Diceros bicornis minor: one gene and its partner. The protein of the gene in region 1 purifies or fractionates together with the protein of each later gene. This does not show direct contact. Links are inferred from orthologs where the notes say so. Each region holds a gene or a part of one and is shown on either strand. Other genes may lie near its edges.

The links.
Region 2: the proteins of SLC30A4 (region 1) and STX8 purify together in Homo sapiens (co-immunoprecipitation; 3 studies listed by BioGRID and IntAct, with this or other methods). This does not show direct contact. The link is inferred for Diceros bicornis minor from reciprocal best matches to the Homo sapiens genes SLC30A4 and STX8.

Annotation. Positions count from the first base shown.
Region 1 is NC_080744.1:42,402,927-42,412,770, forward strand, and holds the start of SLC30A4 (probable proton-coupled zinc antiporter SLC30A4), read right to left. Parts: upstream 4,419-9,844; 5' UTR 4,175-4,418; intron 3,651-4,174; 5' UTR 3,537-3,650; coding exon 3,146-3,536; intron 1-3,145. UniProt on the Homo sapiens protein: Probable proton-coupled zinc ion antiporter mediating zinc import from cytoplasm potentially into the endocytic compartment. Controls zinc deposition in milk.
Region 2 is NC_080757.1:9,073,050-9,083,547, reverse strand, and holds the start of STX8 (syntaxin-8), read right to left. Parts: upstream 4,769-10,498; 5' UTR 4,716-4,768; coding exon 4,699-4,715; intron 1-4,698. Other genes in the region: CFAP52 (cilia- and flagella-associated protein 52), read left to right, coding at 5,562-5,631. UniProt on the Homo sapiens protein: Vesicle trafficking protein that functions in the early secretory pathway, possibly by mediating retrograde transport from cis-Golgi membranes to the ER.

The sequences.
Region 1 (9,844 bases):
CCCTTGGCCTCTCTTCTGAACTACAGATTCATAAGTAACAGCTCACTAGACATCTTTACATGGCTATTTCACATACATATGATAATACGTCTAAAACAACCCTTGATCCATGCCTAAATCTTGCTCTGTATTTTCTCCCTGCTTCATAAATGACATATATTTCCACACACTGAGCTGCTTAGGTGAGAAACTTCAGAAGCATTCCTGACACTGCTCTCCCATCAACCCCTACATCCAAACCATTAGCCAATATTGTCAATGTTACGTCTGGAATGCTTCTCAATCACTACATTTTTCTCCATCCACTCTAGTCCAAGCCATAATCATTTCTTGTCTGGACCTCTGCAGTAGTTTACTTGCTTCCATTCGTGCACCCTCCAATTCATTCTTCACATAAGAACCAGAGTAATCTGTTAAAAACCTAAAGCCCATCATGTCACTCTCTGCTTAAAAGACTTCACTGGCTTCCCATCATAGTTACAATAAAAACTACACTCATAATAATATGGTCTGCCTGATCTGGTCCCCCTGCCTCTTTCCTGCTTGCTCACTACATTCCAGCCAAACTGGCCTTCTTTTTAGTTCCTTTTAAAGAACTAAAAGTTTTAGGACCTTCGTACATGATGTTCTCTTCACTTGGAAAACTCCTCCACTTCCTTTGCTTGAATAACTCCTACTATCTTTTTTCCGTTTAACTGTACCTGGCTCATAAATAAACTTTGTCTCACTGGTTACTATGTCTTATAAGTACCTTGTTCTTTTTCTTCATTGCACTTAAGACCATTTGAATTTTAAATTTACTTGTGTTTATTTAACATCTGTCTCTTTCATTAAATTAAATGCTTCCGATATTAGGGATCATAACAGTTTTGTTCACCATAATATATCGAGAACACGTAGCACAGTGCTTGGCATACAGTAAGTACTCAAAAAATACTTGCTGAGTGGAAGGAAGATAAGAATGGACCTTGTATAATGAGCAAGTTAGTGGCAAAGCCAAGATTCAAAATCGAGTTTCCTCTTTTAGATCTTTAAATTCATGTTTTTATTACTCCATACTTCCTACATAAGATGCTTTATTTCTAGGTGCTTTGAACGTACGTTAATAAATGCTCTACTGTATACAATTCTATATAACATTCTGAATAGTATTGTTAATGCCTATCCTACATACTAGCATCTCTGTATTGTTTAACAAAAGATTTTCATATTTGAAAAGGAACACTTATTGTGGCTTTCACAAAACAACATTTACCAAATAAGAGACTTCAAAAATGGTAAGTCAGGACAATCGTATTTAACAATTTTTACTTAGGCGAAACAAACTCTAAATTAATTTTAAGGGGGAAAATTGTGTTTAATGTGATTTTTAAATTCAAATATTAAATATTAACTTCAAGAATCACAAAGTCTGAATGACTATATATTCTAGCTGTGTGAATCTGGGCAAATCATTGACTCTTAGTATGCTGAGACGATGTCTTACCTGGCCACAGCTTTACTCCCATCTTTTAATTTGTTTATAGCTTAAGCATTTATAATTCTCTAAGCATTTATAATTCTCTAACACAACAAAAATTAATTCAACAAAAATTTACTGAGTGTCTACTCTGTGCCAGTCATTGTTCTAATAAGCTGGAAATTCAGCTTATTAAATTTCAGTGGAGGAAGACAGATATTAAACAAGTGAATATACAAACAAGATAATCTCAGATGCTGAGGGCTTTTAAAGTTGGGGCAGAAACAGGGAAGAGAGGTTTACTTTAGTCAGTCTCAGAGGTATCTTTTGAGATGACATATGAATGACAAGAAACCAGTCAAGAGATTTGGGAAAAGGCAGTCCATGTAAAGCAGCGTTTTTCAAACTGCAGGCCCGACCTATTTGTGGACCATGAAACCAATTAAGTAGGCTGGGACTACAATTGAAAAAATATTGGAACACATCGCATGAAATAAAACTTTGTTTTAGTTATATATATATTCATACATATGTGTATATGTGTGTACATACATATGCACGCATGCCTGCACGAGTCACAATGCTAAGTGTATTCTTACTTTTGTGAGGTCAAAAAAGTTTGAAAGCTACTGAGGTAGAGGGACCAGATAGGTTGAAGGGCTTATGGGCAGCAAGGAGCTTTGTGAGTCGTAGGGAGAAAGAAGGCCAGCACGGCTGAAGGGAGCACTGGTGTAAAATGAGGTAGGAAAAGTATATAATTTTCCTGCATATAACCTCCAGCCAGCATCTTAAATCTAGACTGCCACCTCTGTTCTCATCGTGGTTCATCATTGAGACAACATGGGAGAATAATCGCCCTGCTTTAATGTCACTTTGTAAACTGTCCCTAAGAGAAGTTAGCAGTTACGCTAATGTGACTGTGAAATTAATCTCTAAGAAGGTATATTATAGTGAGAATGTTCTACTTGAATAACTAAAAAACAGAAAATAAAACCAAGTTCATATACCCTAGGGGAGCCCTCTGGTTCCTTTCAGATCCTCCTTTTAATGAAAAACGTTCAGGTTAGTTGGTAGTATTCAATTTGGCAAATCTCTTGGATATAAATACAAACGGAAATAGTATAAAAAGACCATTTAAGTCAAATGTAGAGGGAAAAAAGCAGGAGATTGAGACTGTAGATATGGCTTTTCCATTAACCAGGTAAGTGTCCTCATAACTTATTTAACCTCTCTGGGCCCTCCGATTCCCTACGTGTGAAAAAAAAAAGTGGAGCAGGTTTTCCGTAAGGTCCCTTCATACTGCAAAATTTTATGATTCTAATTAATTTTAGAACAATTTACTATTTTAAACGTTGCAAAAATTAACCTGGTGTTTTATCAGAATTTTTTTTAAAAAGAGGAAGTTACATGATATACAATGAAGATAATGTCCTTAACTTTACAGTAGGTGACACAGTGTTTGGAGAACTAGAAGAAAAAGTCAAAGTTATCTCTGGAAGTTTATGTCCTACTTAGGTTGATCTGCACTTTGGAACCATGAGGCCTTTTTCACATCACGAGATCAGTATCTTGATAAATAGCAAGATTCCTGAAAAGAAAGTTTAAACCTCAAATCATGTGTAACTAAAGCTTGACAAAGGCTCTCCAGGCAAGGTAAACGGAAAGTGAGTTGGCAACACAACTCACCTACAAGTTCTCCAATCATGAAAAGCAAGTAAAGAACGGCAGCAATGCTCAATCTGGTTTTCGCCTTTCTCTGCTTCAGTAACTCTCTCTGTTTGCTGCAGTTGTCACAGGGGTCCACCTTCAAACTCAGCTGACTGTTGGTCAAAGGAAGGTCCTGGTCCAGTAAGGAGTCGTCGTCGGCCTGGAGGGCCGGGTGCGCCCCGTTAATAGGCCTTTCCGGGGTTTCAGAACCATCATCGGCCACCACGACTCGAAGTTTGTTAAACCGAGAAAGCCCCTCGTCCCCCACCTCGTCCGAGAAGTCAAAGGCGCTGGTGTCATTTAAGAACAGCGGCGCATCATCCTTCCTCAGCAGAGATTTGAGGCGCTTCCACGCGCCGGATCCGGCCATGGCAGAGGCTGAGCGGCCGCGGCGCGGAACGGCTGGGTGCAGGCGGACTGCCGGCGGCTCCTGCTTCACCGGGCCGCCAGTTCCCGATGACACTGCCGCGCGTCCCTCCCCATCCTGTGGAACACGAAGCACGTTATAAATTAAACGCGCCCCAACAGTGCCCGCAAGTTCCGAAGCCCCGGGCGGCGGGGGCGCAGGGCCGGCCCGGAGGCGCCGGGGCTCCGCGAGGGGGCGGCGCGTCTGCCTGGGGCGCTGCCGCGGGGCCGCCGCTCATCTCCCCGCTCCCGGCCGGCTCGGCGGGCGGGCTCGCCCAGCTCGGCCCGGGGCGGCGGGGAGCTGGGCCGTCCTCCCGCCTGCCGCGCCGGCAGCCGCAGCCGGGCTCCCCGGATCTGACAGCTTCGCGGCCGGGGGCCCGCAGCCGCCGCCTCTCCCCGCCCTGCGCGAGGCCGCGCGCGTGCGCCGGAGCGGCCGCGGGCGAGGCGCGCGAGGGAGGGGTCGGCGCGAGGACACGCAGGCCCGTAGCGCGAGGCTGGGGCGCCCGCGGGGGGCGGGTCAGGGGCGCGCGCCGGGACCCCCGCCCTTCGCCCAGGTCCTGGCTGCCCGGCCCCGCGCACCCGGCTCTGCCGAGGGACACTCACAGACCAAGCCCCACTCTCCGGCTCGGCCCTTCCCCTTCCTCTTCCCCAGGCTGGGAGGCATGTGGGGATGGAGCCGGGGTCCGCGGGCGAAGTGGGCAAATTCGAACGATCCCGCCCGGGGCTGGGCGTTGCTGCCGGGAGTTTGCTCCACCGACGGAAGGCCGCGGGAATGTTGGGTTGGGATCTTGGTTGCGGATGCTCGGAAGAAAACGAATTTAGCGCTTTCTTGCCAAGTGGGAAGCGAAGCAGTTGCTGCCTCTCTGGCAAGTTGGCAAAATTTGCTGCACGGTCAGGTCCACTTGGAGAGGGCAGGGCTTATGGTCCTCAGCAGTTCTGTGTCCTGCTTTATAATTACTATTGTTTTTCAGCAAATGTGTTTCCTTTTTGTGCTCACTGCCACGTTCCTTTTGCCTCCAAGGTATTTACGATATGCACTAACCGCAACCACAGAAAATCTACTAGAGGTTTCTTTTCTGGCCTTTGGTGCTAACAGCAACAACAAGCACAAAAAATTTAAAAAGAATTAAGTTCTGAATAGTAGCTTCTGATTAGGATCTAAATTTTAATGGCAAAATGGAATGGCAGTAAGCTTCCCCCCACCCCTTCTCCCGTGAAAGTCTTAGAGATTCTTAATCCAGATTCCCTGGATAGGTTTTAGGGGATTCAGGAGGCCTTAAATTTATGTGCAAAATTTTGTGGGTATATGTGTTTTCTTGAATAAGTTCTTTAGCTTTCATCATATTCTCTAATGGGTTTAAGACTCAAATGAGATTTAAAACAACACCACTCAGGAGAACTCATAGATCAAGTCCCTAGCTCATACTTGGAGTTGAATTGCCTGCAAACTCCTATTTATCCAATTTATATAAATGTTGTATTTTGACAACAGTCTACGTGGATTACCAAATTTCAAGTTAAAAAACACAAAAAGAATATAATAAAAAGTCATACGAAACATCATTTTCCTCTGAAGATTAAGATATCACTTGAGAATCTTGCACACCTCAGGTACTAGAGCACCAATTGCTTTTGGACTCCAGGGCAGTCCCTCACTTTTGAATGCCCACCATATTCCTACAGAGCTGCAGCCAGGGAAGTCAGGTTAGGAAACCTAGATCAGGGATCCCATGGTTCTCAAGACCCAGAATATTCAGTAACCAGGGCACTCAGGTCATTATCAGCTGAAAAGAGAGAGCTTACTGAGGGTTGCTTTCCTAACCTCAAATATTTTAATCCACCTGGTTTGCCAGTAGGTTGTTTGTTGTTTTTCATTTCGGTTTGTTATACTGCCTGAAATTTTACTAATGAAAAATACTAGTGAATAAAGCAAAGATTTTGGGAATATGATTGCTCTCTCTTTAGTATAAATTCTTCATATAAGATTCCATTTAAGGAAAGAGGATAGATGTTTTCAAGAAAAGTTGAGGCAAGAGCATGGATTGTTTTGGGTATTCACAGTAAGCTTTGTTGGGAAGGACTGCAGTTCTGAATCTCGATTTATTTTTATTATTTTGTGTCACTGGGTACCTGGAGAGAGTGATGAGAGGACAACAAAAACTATATGGTGATTTTAAGATATGTCCACAAATTCTGTGATACAGTTCCCATCAAGAGGTGGCGCTTAATTCCCCCTCCTATTGAGTGTGAGCTGCTCCTAATGAATAGCATATGGCCTATAATGAATAGACTATGACAGAAGTGACAGTGTATGACCTATAAGAGTAGGTCATAAAAGGCATTGCAGCTGCCTTCTTGTTGTCACTCATGGATCACTTGCACTGGGAAAAGCCGGAGCTACCACGTCATGAGGAACTCAAGCAGCCACATGGTGGGGCCCATGTGATGAAGAACTGAGGCCTGCTGCCAATAGCCATGTGAGTGAGTCATGTTGAAAGTGGATCTCCAGCCCCAGTTAAGCATTCAAATGACTGCAGCCTAGGTGAGGTGACCTTGACCTCATGAGAAATCCTGAGCAGAACCACCCAGCTAAGCTATTCCCAGATGACCCACAGAAACTGTGAGATAATAATGTTTATTGTCTTAATATGGTAAGTTTTGGGACAATTTCTTACACAGCAAGAGATAACAAATACACTCTAGATCAACTTTCCTCTGTACCAGGAAAGACACTTTTCTACTGCTTTTATCACATGGGCTCTTGTGCCTAGGCCTGCCCTTGGGCTAGAGGGTTGATTTCTGTCATTGAGCTTTAAAATGGGCTAAATAAATAGACTTCTGTGAATAGTCTTGGAATGTAACCACCATTTGCAACCTTATTTCTATGGATTCAGAGTTTATAACAATAGACAAATGAACTTTTGAAACATAATCCATTTATCATCTGGGTACTGCCTACAGTTCAGCTAGCTATTGCTCAGTATGCCATTCTTTTATAAGACACTTCATACTTCTTTCCAGTATGAAGAACTTTTTTACATGGGCAGATTGCCAGCCATTTAGCCCATCTCTTAACCAGGTAACCCATAGTACACAGATTGTTTAGGTAGGAGCAGAGGCCTTTCAGGTCAATTGCAAAACACATGCCTTGGGGCAGTTAACTGGACTAGACACAAAATATCCTATGTTAAAACCTGGCCCAGATATCTCTTGGAACAGATGACAATGCTAAAAATAATGCTACAGCTAACATTTACCTAAAGCTTGTTGAAGTGCCAGGCACTATGCAGGGGACCTGACTTTCATGAGCTCGTTTAATCCTTACAACATCACTATGAAGAAGGTAGCGATTCAAAGCATGGGTCTTGGAGGAAGACTGCCTGTGTTTGAATCCTGTTTTCGTTTACAGTCATACAATCTCTGGCAAACTATTTAACCTCTTTGTGCTTCAATTTTCTTACCTATAAAATGGGGATGATAATAGTCCCCACTTCACAGGGCTGTGGTAAGGATTAAATGCGAAAATGCATGTAAATCGTGTAAAATTAGCACAGATAGTTCCTAGCACAGAGTGTGTGCTCAATCAACGCCAGCTATTATTTTTTAAGTAAATGAAGACATGGAGTCTCAGGGAGGGTAACTATCTTGGCCAGGGTCCTACAGCTGGCAAAGAGAGCAGGAACTCCATTCCAGAGCAGTTTGATTTCAGAGCTCCAGCTCTTAACCATTACTCTACACTGTCCCCTTGGTTTCTTTCTGCACACAAGTGGAATGAATTGCACAAATGCATCCAGCTCCTTGAGGTGTGCTAGGAGAGACCCCTGTTTCACATATCAAAGATTTGCCAGCACCTTGGGACCTCCGTATCATCCTGTGAAATCCCCCTTGGAAGTGAAGGAAAAAAAGTGGGAAAGTTGTTTAAATCAAAATACGGGAAAAGGTGCTACTTAGTTGACAGATTCAAATGCTGCATATTCCCCATCCTGAGAACTCCTTTCTCCGTTGGAGTATGTGGCTGTAGGAGGTTGCTGTAGGATGCTTTTGGAATATCTTCCCTTATTTTTTCAGGAAGGGATGAAAGCTGTTGGATGTGGACGGGCGAGGGTTAGTGATGTGATACACAACTCTGGTGAGTGTAATCACTTCTTCCTTCTATGAATACTCTGCTAACAGAGAGGCTGGAGATTCATTTTAACACCCCCCCAGGGGAGGAGAGGAAGGACCCAAAATAGATAAGAGACATACCCAAGGTCAGGTAAGTTGCCTACTTGGACAGCGAGGGGATAGAGGAGAGGATCTCTGGCCATCTACCCTGCCGGGCAAAACAAACTGTGAGCTGAAACCTGCGCTCGATTAATTGCATTGTTTTCACACCTTTGTATTTGTCTTCCCTTTGTTTTTAAAATAAACATTCCTGTGGATTTCTCTAACCATGTCTGGCTGATGTGCAGAGGAATAGGAGGTCCCACGTGGGGCAGAGTTTAAGGAATAAGCACTCCGGCACTAGAGTCTAGAGGTGGCGGCTGGACTTGGCGAGTTTGAAGATGAGGGTGGAAAGTGGACTTTGGAAGTGCTTTGGGAATGCTTCATCTTAGACAAGAGCTCACATGAGAACTTGGAGAACCTGCTTCAGCTTCTAATTTTACCATCCATCCACTATGATCCCAGCAGCTTTACTATTGTGGAGCTCATTTTCTTATCTGTGAAAAGTGGGAAATAATATTTGTGCTACCTATTTCATATCCAATGAGATTTTGTATGTGAAAGCATTCTCTTACCCACATACTAAAGAGAGCTATTAAAGACCATGCCTGATGGATGGTAATTAGTCTTTGGGTGATGAACATGGTGTAATCTACACAGAAATCGAAATATAATGATGTGTCCCTGAAATTTATATAATGTTATAACCAATGTTACATACATACATACATACATACATAAATAAATAGATAAATACCATGCCACCTGAACCAAATGCAAACCAAGGGTATAGGCAAATGTTGGTGGTCAAGCATCCTCCTCTTGTATCTGTCCCTTCTTAGCATTGCGCAACTCCAGTCCCTGGTTTATTAACGACTTGTTCTGACTCAGACCTCTAGATCACCACCATACACATTACTATTATGACGACTTTATTTCTATCCTAAGCTGTCTTTGTGTTCATAGCACCTAACTCATAGCAGGAGCCCTGTAAATACGTGTGGATTAATATATGAAAATATTTTAATCGTAGAGAGTTCATCCAGAACTTTGAATGCCCCTCTAACAAACATTTCTATTTCTTTAAGCTGGTGTATAAAGTCATTTCTAAGAAATTCTTAGTGGTGAGATTAATGTGTCTCACCAGGAATGGAGATTATTAAGACACTAATAGTCAGTTTATATTTATACTAGACTTATTTTAAAGAACATTATAAATTTTATGAATAAAGCCAGGACAGAGAAGCAACTGCAGACAAAGTGACTCTTTTGTGGCCTCTGACAACTGGTGGCTTTAAACAATGACGGCCATTGTGTAAGAACTCCCTCCTGGGGTCATAGTAAGGATTAATTAGATTAAAATCTGCAAAGCGCTTTGAGTTTTTCTGAGAATTCTTTTATAAATAAAGATGGCACTAATTTTTTTTTAAAAAGTATCTTTAGATTGGTCCTTCCAAAACCAAATGTAACAAGTTCGCCTGCCTTTTAACTCCCTGTATTCCCTGCAGCAAAAAACTCAAGACTAGGCCAACCTAAATTATCTTTAATGGTTTAAAACTAAATACCAGAGCACACATGACTGAGCAGAATTTAGTACCCTAATCACAAAGATCTTAGTGTATGATTTACTTGACACAATAATGCCTCGTAATCACTATGCCACATGGTAATTAGATATAAATTACTACAATTATTACAGCTGCTTTATACTGACCAATGAAGTTTTACTCTCCTCTTTATTATTTATATTTTAATAACTCACATTCTGCCCACTTGAAAATAGGGTTTAAAGCAGGCTTCCCTTTAGTAGTTCTTCTTTATCTCCAAACGTTGTAAATGTTGAAAGCTTTTCCTGATACCAGGTACTGTTTAATCCTCACTGTATGCACAGAAACACATACAGACTCTAGATAAAAGACCAGAGTCTTTGATCCAACTCCAACAGCTGAGGTTCCTTGGGAACCCCTTCTCCTCAATCTCCTGGTCTCCTCTGATCCTAACCCTGTCCCCAGTGACCCACCCAGCCCATGCTGTCACCTCTTCTGACCCAGAAGGAGCCAATCTGCATAT
Region 2 (10,498 bases), on another chromosome or scaffold:
AGGTTCTTCAAAAGAAATTTCTGCATTATCTAAGTTTGAGCTTTTAATTCTAGTCACAAATTTAAACGGAAGGGAGAATAATAAGAGTAACAGTAATGGCAACAGGTGTTGAATGGTACTTACTACCAACCAGGCTCTATTCTGAATGCTTCATTTGTAATAACTCACTTAATCCACACAAAAACGCTAGGAGGCAGGTACCATTACTATCTCCATCTTACACGTGAGAAAAGGAGGCAAAAAGAAGTAAAGCAACTTGCCCAAGTGGTACCGCCAGCTACAAACCAAGGTTGTCTGGCCCCAAGCCTGTGCTCCTAACCACTTTGCTATTCTGCTGATGATAAAGCGTTTGTATCTGTTCATGCATAAAACATCCAACAAACATTTACGGAGGCCCTCCTCTGTACTGAGCTCTGTTCCAAGCACTGGAGAATATAGGAGTGAACAAAATGGACAAAGTGCCTGCTTTCAAGGAGCTTAGTGAAGGGAGAAAGGCATAAAACAAATAAATATATAATATGTCAGGTGTTGATATGTGCTAAGAAGAAAAATAAAGCGGGATAAAGACAGAGTGACCGGCAAGGTGTGGAAGCTAGCCCTCCAGATATCTGGGGAAGAACTTTACAGTACAGGAACAGCCAGTGCTGTTTATCCTATAACACAATGCTCTGGGGACAAAGGACACACAGCCACCTGACATCTAAGCTTATCAGAACTCTCTCAAAACATTTACTGAGCTTCTATGTGTTATTCAACAGTGCTGGGGGCTTCGAAGGATTCACAATGAATTCCCAATAGTCCCTTATTTTTTCCTTCTGTTACAGCCTTTTTACTTTCTATTTGTTTTACAGAAAATACTTAAGTGTGCAAACACATTTCATCTCTCCTACCAGATGGTCTGCTCCTAAAGAACAGGGGCTATGCTGTACTATACAACCAACATATTTTCCAGGACTGTCCCAGTACAAAATATTGACAACTGCTGTTTGACCTAATATCCCAATTTTTGCTTGACAAAATAAATAATCCATTTCTTAAAATCTTCAAACGCCCACATATCACTTATATACCCAGGGAACTTGAAAATGTCTGTTTGAATGAAGGAAAAAACAATCCCAATTGCTTCCCATAGGAATCTTATTATAGAAATATAGCAATGGCTGACAGCTGAGTACCTGATCTGGGCCAGGTCCTACGCTAAGAGCTTTACATTTTAAACTTCGTAAGGATCCTACAAATTGGATCTTTAACCACTCACCACTATACTCTAAAAAAGCATCATTCCTGTATACAAAAAACGGGCAGGTGATACAAAATAACACATCATTAAGAAAACAGGAGGGAAGCTGATAAGGACAGTTGGGTCCTGGTCCCAGCTTTACATTTCCCCCTTTTCTCCTCCATATTGGCACCTATGAAAAGAGGAGCTTAGGTCTGGTTCTGTGGTTCCAGACTGTAAATATGAAAATCAGTGAGAAGTACAATTGTGGGGTCAAATGTGGGGTATAAATGGTAAGTATTTCCGGAGTTCGGAAGTGAGAGAAATTACCGTTGGCCGAGGCACTCAGATCTGACAGGGCTGGGCCAAGAGGTTACATCTTGGGCTGAGGCACCAGGTTAAAGCAGGCCTCTCGTTCCAACAGGAGGGAGGAGAGCATTCTAGATGTGGCAAATGTGCAAGCACAAGGAGCAAAGATGGAAGGAACAAAATGTGCCTGGCACACTCGGCTGAGTGGCGGCCCTCAGTGGTGGTGGGAGGGTAAAGCATAAAATGGTAAAGATGAGTCGAAGCTAGTTTCTGCAGAGCCTTAAACACCAACCTAATAAGATTAGACTTATAAGAGAATTTTAGAGCTGTATGTAGAGCATAAAGTGAGGCCTTGAAGAGGTGATATGCTGACGGGCAAAATCTCAGGTGTCTTGCCACTGATCCTCATGTTCTCACTTTAGCCCTAAAAAAGTGGTTCTGAAACCTTGCTACATTCTGGAATAACTGGGGAATCACTACAAAACAAAAACAAACACAATTCCTGGCTCCCACCCCCAAGCATTCTGATTAAATTGGTATGGGGTTTGACCTGGACATGAGGAGTTGGGAAAGCTCCCCAGGTAATTCCAATCTGTAGCGAAGTTTGGGAACCACTGGCCAAGTGTTAACGGGCAACTTCATCAAGGTATCAAGAACACAGTGCCTAAAGTACTAGTTTAGGAAAATTAACCTGAACTCCATTTAGGTAAACAGTTGGGAAGGAGAGAAGAGTGGCAAGAGATCAGTAGATGACTTCTCCAGCTATTCAATTCTATAACCAGTCACCAGTATTTACTATCTGCAAGGCATAGGGCTATAAAGGATTGAACTATGGCAGAAAAAGACAGCAAAAAAAAGATGTCAAGAGATACTTAAAAAAAAAAAAAAAGGGCATTAGTGAAAAATCTGATATGAGGAGTGAAGGAAAAGTGGGTAATTAGTGTTTTCAGGCCTAAGTGACTAAGAGGATGGTGATGCCATGACAGAGACCAAGGAACTAGAATGGGGAAACTAAAAGAAGTTTCTAGACTAAGAACTGGGCCTCTGTTCTATCAGAAAAGCACTGAATATACAGTTAAATTGATATATGTATAAGATTTACTTTAAAAGACACAGGAAAAAAAAAAGTGTGGAGAGCAGAGATGAAACAAGAATGGCAGAATATTGATAATTACAGAAATTGAGTGATGAGTATAAAGGGGCTCATTATACTATTCCACATATATTTTTTATCTTTCATAACAAAACTTTTAAATAATAGACCAAAAAAAAGCCAACTAGAATATAATTTTTCCAGAAATGGTGTATCATCAACAAATAAGTTGCCCTAGCAGTAAAGCTGATTAACTTGAGCAAAGAACCAGTTTAGACAGTAATTACTCGCTACTTCTATTAAACAGTGAGCTTACTACTTGCTTTGATATGCCATTAAAATAGTAACTGCTACATTTCACTTCTCAACTTTAGAACACTACACAGGAGTAAAGCATCATTGACCGATGATTTTCAACAGCAGGAAGGCAAAGCTGTAGTCAAGTCTGTTTCTATAGGTTTTTCCAAGTCCCATTCCATACTCCTTTCTACCCTGCTGATCAGCAACCTACTTGGCAAAGAAGCTGACGCTAGCACAGCAGAGTTCCCCCACTGTTTCACTTTCAACAAATGAGAAAGCCACTAATTCAAACTACTTGAGAGTAACAGGAAAAATTATAAATGCCTTTTCAAAACTCACTGTGGAAGAGGCCTGGGGTCCAGTGATAGCTTCTGCCAAGCTATATGGATAACCTGGGGCCTCTAACTTATTTCTGAGCTTTATTTCCTACCTTATGTGTAAAGTGAGGGAGTTAGCTTCCAGGAGGTGGAGGGCAACTTAGCAACATGTATCCAGGGCCTTAAAAATGTTCATACCCTTGGGCCCAAGAGTTCCACTTCTAAGAAGTGAGCCAAGGAAATAAGACACAAAACAAAGGGGCAATCTCTGCAATATTAAAAAAACATAAACAAATCCCTAATATTAAAAAAAGGTACAAAGCGGGGAATAATTAAATTATGGTCATTCATATGATGCACTATAAAAAATAATGTTTAGAGTGAATATTTAGTGATAGGGAGAAATGTTCCCTGTTTTGTAAAACATATGAGTGTTTATATACATATACACACACATATATAAAGCAATAAGTTCATTTAAAAAAATCAATAATGGCTATTATTCCAAATGACTGAGTTAAATTTATTGTTTTCTCTGCAAATATTCAGTATTTTCTAAATTTTCCATCAGGGTGTTAAAATAAGGTGGAAAAAAATTAGTGTTAAATGAAGTAAGCTACCTGCCCAGATAACCTAAATCCCAGGGGTGCTAACTTTGATCTTGCAATCCATTCTCCTACTATCCAGACTGTCTGCCACTTAAACAATTATAAACTATATGAGAAGTACCAACATGAGGCATATAGTACAAGAACTTTACAGAGCTAGAATATGTTTTTAATTATGACAGACAGTGTCTGTCATCACTCAGTCCCTGGGACTTAACTGATGAATAAAGGACCGCTATCAGCTACTGTTTTACTGCAAAAGTTGCTGCCATAGAAACAGTCCTCATGATACTGACTCAGATAACGGTAAAATGCCTTAAAAACAAATGCATAATTTCCCTCTGATATTCCTAGAAGTTTTTTGAAGGGCCCACAAGTTCTAGGTCCTAGCGCCAACTGGTTACTAACTGGCTGGTGACCAGGGATTCTGAACCTCCGTTTCTCCACCTGTGAAATAAGGGGGTTCCCCAGATGGACTGGCACTGCACAAAAAGGTTACTTCGACTTCCCTTTCACAGGAGTCCAGGGAAGCCTGCACCGCCAGCTCCACAACCAGGATGGGCGGGAAATCTCCGCGGCAAGGTGCAGCCGGGAAGGGCTAAAGGAATGTTCAGAGATTCGACACCATTCCTCAGCTCCCCACGGGTCTACTCGGTCTCCCTCCTGGGCCACCCCGCAAGGACCGAGGGTGGCAGAATGCGGCAGAGTCCCCCTCAGCTGAGGAAGGGTCCTCGCTGCCCCTCCTCTCATCCCGAATGACCTCCAGACCGAACGCCTAGCGGTCGCCCGCTCCCCAGAAGCCCGGCCTCCCCCCACAGACTCTCCGCGCGGCCGCCCCCACCCGGGGCTCACCAGGGGTCCGGGGCCATTGTGCAGTCTCCGCCCGCTCCTCGGACACTTCCTGCTCGCAGCAGCTGACTACGGCGGCTCGCGCGGCTCATACTCCGCGGTTCCACCCGTGCGCGACCGAAACCTGGAGTTTGCGAAGGGAATCTACACTAGGGCCTCAAAGCTCTGATGAAGAAAGGAAAGCGCTGACCCAGGGAACAGTAGGTTGGAGCATTCTGCTCCCGCCGAGATGCCAACAGCTGGGCGCAATTAAAATAAAATTGTTGTTGAACAAAATCTAAGCATTTTCCCGGAAACGGGGGAGCGCCTCAAGACCTCTAGCAGTTACTTAAAATTTTCTCCTGCTTGAAACAATAACAAAAATAAACAAACAAAAAACTGGTTGTCATAGATGTACAAATGTATAAATTTACTAAAACTCACTTTAAGTGAATTTTATGATATGTAAATTATACCTCAATAAAGCTTTAAAAAATTTGTTTTATCCTGCTTCGAACAAGGGACCCAAAGAAGTAGCAATTACATACTATTTTATAGCAGCCTTCCCATCAAAGGCAATCCACCATGTTTGATTAATTTTTAGATGCCATTAGGTGCTTGATTATATAGGTACCAAAAAGGTCACAGACTCTTTATTTAGGGAGGAGGGAATTAGTTCTGTGCATTTAGTGCCCCCTAAATTTCCAGAGCGATAGAAAGGAAAAAGAAGCCCTCTTCTCGTTTCCGAGAGAGTAAAAGACCAACTCCGCAGAATGGGTTTCAGCGCGGGCGGGGATCTGGCGCGCATGCGTACGTCTGTTACCATAACGACCAAAAGACGCTCCATCGTCGGAGGCTGGGAGGAAAGTGAGCCGAGTGTCCGGGTGATGGAGAACCAAATTTCGCCCAAAGCCGAGGTGGCGGAGCTGGAGCTTGAGGCTGTGATTGGCTTCAACGGTGAGGCCTCGAGCATGTCTGGACTGGGTGGTTTAGCAAACCCGGGGACGTGTAGTGCCAACAGGAACAGTGAGACACCAGGTGGCACCTGGAAGGCAGTGTGAGACCCTGGCATGAGCCCTGGCCAGGGCCAACCGCCAGGGCCCCAGCCAGCCTCTCCTGTCCAAAGGCCATAGAGAGTCACTTCCTTGCTCCAAGCCTCAAGAAGGGGGATGGTTTTTGCCGTCACCTAAAAGAAACCAAATTCCTCTTCGCCGGGCCAGAAAGAAAGGATAGTTGTAACCCTTCTCCCACTAGGTCAGCCCTCCCTGGCTCTAAGCCCCATGCAGCCCGCAAAGCTGCCTGCCCTTCCGTAACCACCGGATTACAGAGTCCGTGTCGGCCCCCGGGACCAACTAACTTCTAAAATCCCAGCTGATGTACTGAGAAAGGGCTGGGGAGGGACCGCTTTAGAGGGTAATCTTGTCCTCTAAACCGAAGGAAGGATTCTAATGGTGAGCATTTCAGACCACGATAGAAGGCGAAGAGGACGCCAGGGGGAGCTGGAGGAGAGAGATACTTTGGTCAGAGGATGCCTGGCGGATCTGCTCAAATCTTATTTATGACTGCTTGTGGTTTTGAACGTTAAGGGGGAAAATGCTGTTTGGCTTTTTGTGAAGGATGAAAACAAGCAATTGGTTACATTTTAGAAAAAGCAAACCTTTTTTTAAAAGTACATTGTGATGCCTGAAAGCTTTAAAATTGTAATAATGTAGATACAGAACAATCAATGACAAATTTTAAGCACATTCTAGGACTTGGCTCTTCATTTTACCTTGATGTCTCTAATTGACAGTGGGCACTTAGTACATCTGAGAGATCAGCCACCTTTAGAGCCGGTTACAAGATCGTTGGTAAAGGATCTGAGTGCAGTTAGTGCAAAGGGCCACGCTGGGGACTAGTGTAAAGGCTCCCGCATAGAGCTCTGCGACTGAATTCATGCTGTTTGGTGGAGCTCTGAGAGTAAATATGTGGTCACTTCCATCCGGATGTCTTCCTTGACAATTACTACTTATCTTGGCCTTTTATTATTTTTTTTAAAAGCATACGCCTTTATTTTTTATTTTTTTAACTTTATTTATTTATTTTTTCCCCCAAAGCCCCAGTAGATAGTTGTATGTCATAGCTGCACGTCTTGCTGTATGTGGGACGCGGCCTCAGCATGGCCAGAGAAGCAGTGAGTCAGTACGCGCCCGGGATTCAAACCCGGGCCGCCAGCAGCGGAGTGTGTGCACTTAACCGCTAAGCCATGGGGCCGGCCCATCTTGGCCTTTTAGAATGGCCCAAATTGAATTGTTTTTACCTTCATTTTGTGACAATTTATATTCTTTTGTATAATCAAATATACATTTATTTAGAACCACTATATGCCAAGTAGTATGCTATGCACTGTGAATACAGGGATAAATCCATAGCCATACTTAAGAAGAGGAGTTTAGAAAATTGAAAAAATACAGTGAAACCAAAAGAAAAATCAGCCATCATTACATTTCCCAAAGATATCACAGTTAAACTTTTGGTGTGATCCTTTCAAATATACACTTACATATAAATATATTTTTTTAATAAAAACAAACTTATGCTGTATATATTATCTTGTAATCGAACTTTTTTTCCACTTAACAGTATGTCATGTAAATCTTTCCTTGGCAGTAAATATACTCTGTCCCATAATTTTTAATATATTTTAATATGATATTCTGTTGCACAGATGTCATAATTTATTTAAACAATGCCCTGTTATTAAGCATTTAGGATAATTTCCATTTTTTCCATTTATTTTTAAATGCTACAAAGAACATCTGCACAGCTAAATCTTTTAACTCTACCTTTTTTCCTTAGGTCAAATTCTGAGTACATCTTAAAGACTTTTGATGTATCCTCCAAAGGCCATATTATACACAACAGAAATGTGTACCAAAAAAAAAATATATGGGAATATTTATAGTAGCATAATTTCAAATAGCTAAAAACTACAATGAAAATGTCCATCAAAAGTAGAAAGGGGGGCCGGCCCAGTGGCGCAAGCGGTTGGGTGCGCGCGCTCCGCTGCGGCGGCCCGGGGTTCGCTGGTTCGGATCCCGGGCGCGCACCGAAGTACTGCTTGGTAAGCCATGCTGTGGCGGCGTCCCATATAAAGTGGAGGAAGATAGGCACCGATGTTAGCCCAGGGCCGTCTTCCTCAGCAAAAAAAGAGGAGGATTGGCGGATGTTAGCTCAGGGCTGATCTCCTCACAAAAAAAAAAAAAAAAAAAAAAAGTAGAAAGGACAGGGGCCGGCCCGGTGGCGCAAGCGGTTAAGTGCGCGCGCTCCGCTGCGGCGGCCCGGGGTTCACTGGTTCGGATCCCGGGCGCGCACCGACGCACTGCTTGGTAAGCCATGCTGTGGCGGCGTCCCATATAAGGTGGAGGAAGATGGGCACCGATGTTAGCCCAGGGCCGTCTTCCTCAGCAAAAAAAAAAGAGGAGGATTGGCGGATGTTAGCTCAGGGCTGATCTCCTCACAAAAAAAAAAAAAAAAAGAAAAGTAGAAAGGACAAATAAATTGTGGTCTATTCATACAACAGACTACTCTGCAGCAATGAAAAAGAATTAACTACAGCTACACACAACATGGATAGAGCTCACAATCATAATGTTGAATGAAAAAAGCCAGAAGAAAAAGAATACATACTGTATAATTCCATTCATTTAAAGTTCTAAAATGAGGAAAATTAATTTACAGGAATAGAAATCAAAACAGTGATTACCTTTGGGGAGATGTAGACTGGGAGAAGGCACATGGGGGACGTCTGGGGGGTGGTAATAATCTACTCCTTGACTTGGGCTATAGTTAAATAGGTGTATTTACTTGGTAAAGTTATTGAGTTTTCTGTATTTTTGTCTTCAATGAAAACTGTTTACTTAAAAAGTCTATACTACCTCTCAAAAACAAATAAGCAAAGCTTTATGAAAGCTTGGGAGAAAGATTCTATTCTAGGCTTGAGTGAAGTCAAGGAGGAGTTAATTCAAATAGTCTTTAAAGTTGAGTAGGAGTCAGTGAGTAAAGACTGAGAGGCAGAATATTCCAGATAGCAGGAATAGGGTGAGCAAAGGAGGAAGGTGGAGAGTGTGGTGCCTGGTTGGGGAATAGCAAAAAGCCTGGTGTGGCTTAAGTATCAAGGACTGACCAGATAACACAGCAAAGAGAGCCTGAGATTAGATTGTGGAGGCCTTAAACGCAAGGTAATTGAGTTTTGCTTTCACACAGAAACAAATTAGAAGCAAAAGCAAAGCCTTTTTTATCATTGTGCTGCTAAAACTCATTGTAGAGTTACATGATAGTTTATGAATTTTAATGAGGGTGTAAATATGTAACTGCACTTGACTCTTCTAGGCATTGTATTTTGACAGGAATTTATTATTTAAGCAAACCAGATATAGTAGTGTTGCTTATGAAAACATTTTATAAAGCTATAGTCATTAAGAGTTTGGTATTGACACAACAGTCACATTCTTCAATTGACTGGAGTAGATAAGCCCATGATTTTCCAATTATACAAAGAGTTCTTAAACTAAAATCAGCAGCAATAACAAAATAGATCAGGATTTGGCACCTTATAGCCAGTGGGCCAAATCTAGGCCTCTGCCTGTTTTTGTAAATAAAGTTTATTGGAACCCAGCCATGTGCATTTGTCTATGTATTGTCTATGGCTGCTTTTACACTACAATAACAGACTTGAGTAGCTGTGGTCCACGAAGCCTAAAATATTTACTATCTGGCCCTTTATAGAAAATCTTTGCTGATCCCTGAAATAGATAATGGGTAAAGAAATATAAATGAAAGAAATATAAATGGCTACTAGCTCAAAACGCTTTAAAAAATGCTATTAAAACAATGACTTTTTTTTAATTTCTCAGATTAGTAAAAGCTAAAAATATGGATAATAGTAAGGTGAGAATAAGAAATGGTTCTCAATTACTATTGCCAGGAGTATAAATTTTACAACTTTTCTGAAAGACAGCTTTGTAGTGTCTCTTACAATTTTTAATGAAAATAATCTTTGAGCTTTTTAGAACTCGAGTCACTTATTCAAGTCTTCAAAAAATTATAAACAGTGGGATTCACTGTGGTATTGTGTATAATATCCCAAATATTGGAGGAAACCCAAATATTCATTGGTAAGAAATTGGCTTAGAAGAGGGGACGCCCTTGTGGCGACTGCAGAAGCTTCCAGCCAAGCTGCGCCTACAGCTTCTTCACAAAATAATTGATGGCATTTGTGGTCGAACTTATCCTCTCTACCAGGATTATCACAGTGTTTGGGATTCAACAGAACGGATGCATGTTCTAGAAGATATTACCAAATTTTTCAAAGCCATAGTTGGAAAAAAGTTATCTGATGAAGAGATAGTTCAGCAATTGAATCAGTTGAATTCATTTCATCAAGAGGCTATCATGAAATGCTTGAAAAGTAGAAAAAAAAAATAAAGTCAGTCAGGGTCTGTCAGAAGAAATAGTTGATATTTCCTCTGCCTGGCTATAAGATTTTGATTGGCAGTTAAAGCTTGCACTTTTTAGTGGCAAGATTGCTACGTTACAAACGCTGCTTTTAAACTTTCATCTAGATGTAAAAGAAAATGATGAAGTCAAACCATATTCTGTTGAAGTGAGTAAAGAAGAGCTGCAGAATCTAGTAAATTCCTTGGAAGCAGCTAATAAGGTGGTCCTGCAGTTGAAATAACTGGGTGTAATGAATACCAACATTGTCAGATTCCACTGCTGCAACTGACACAGCAGAGTGAATACTGTGTGCTCAGGAAACCTGCCATACAAATTTATCAACTTC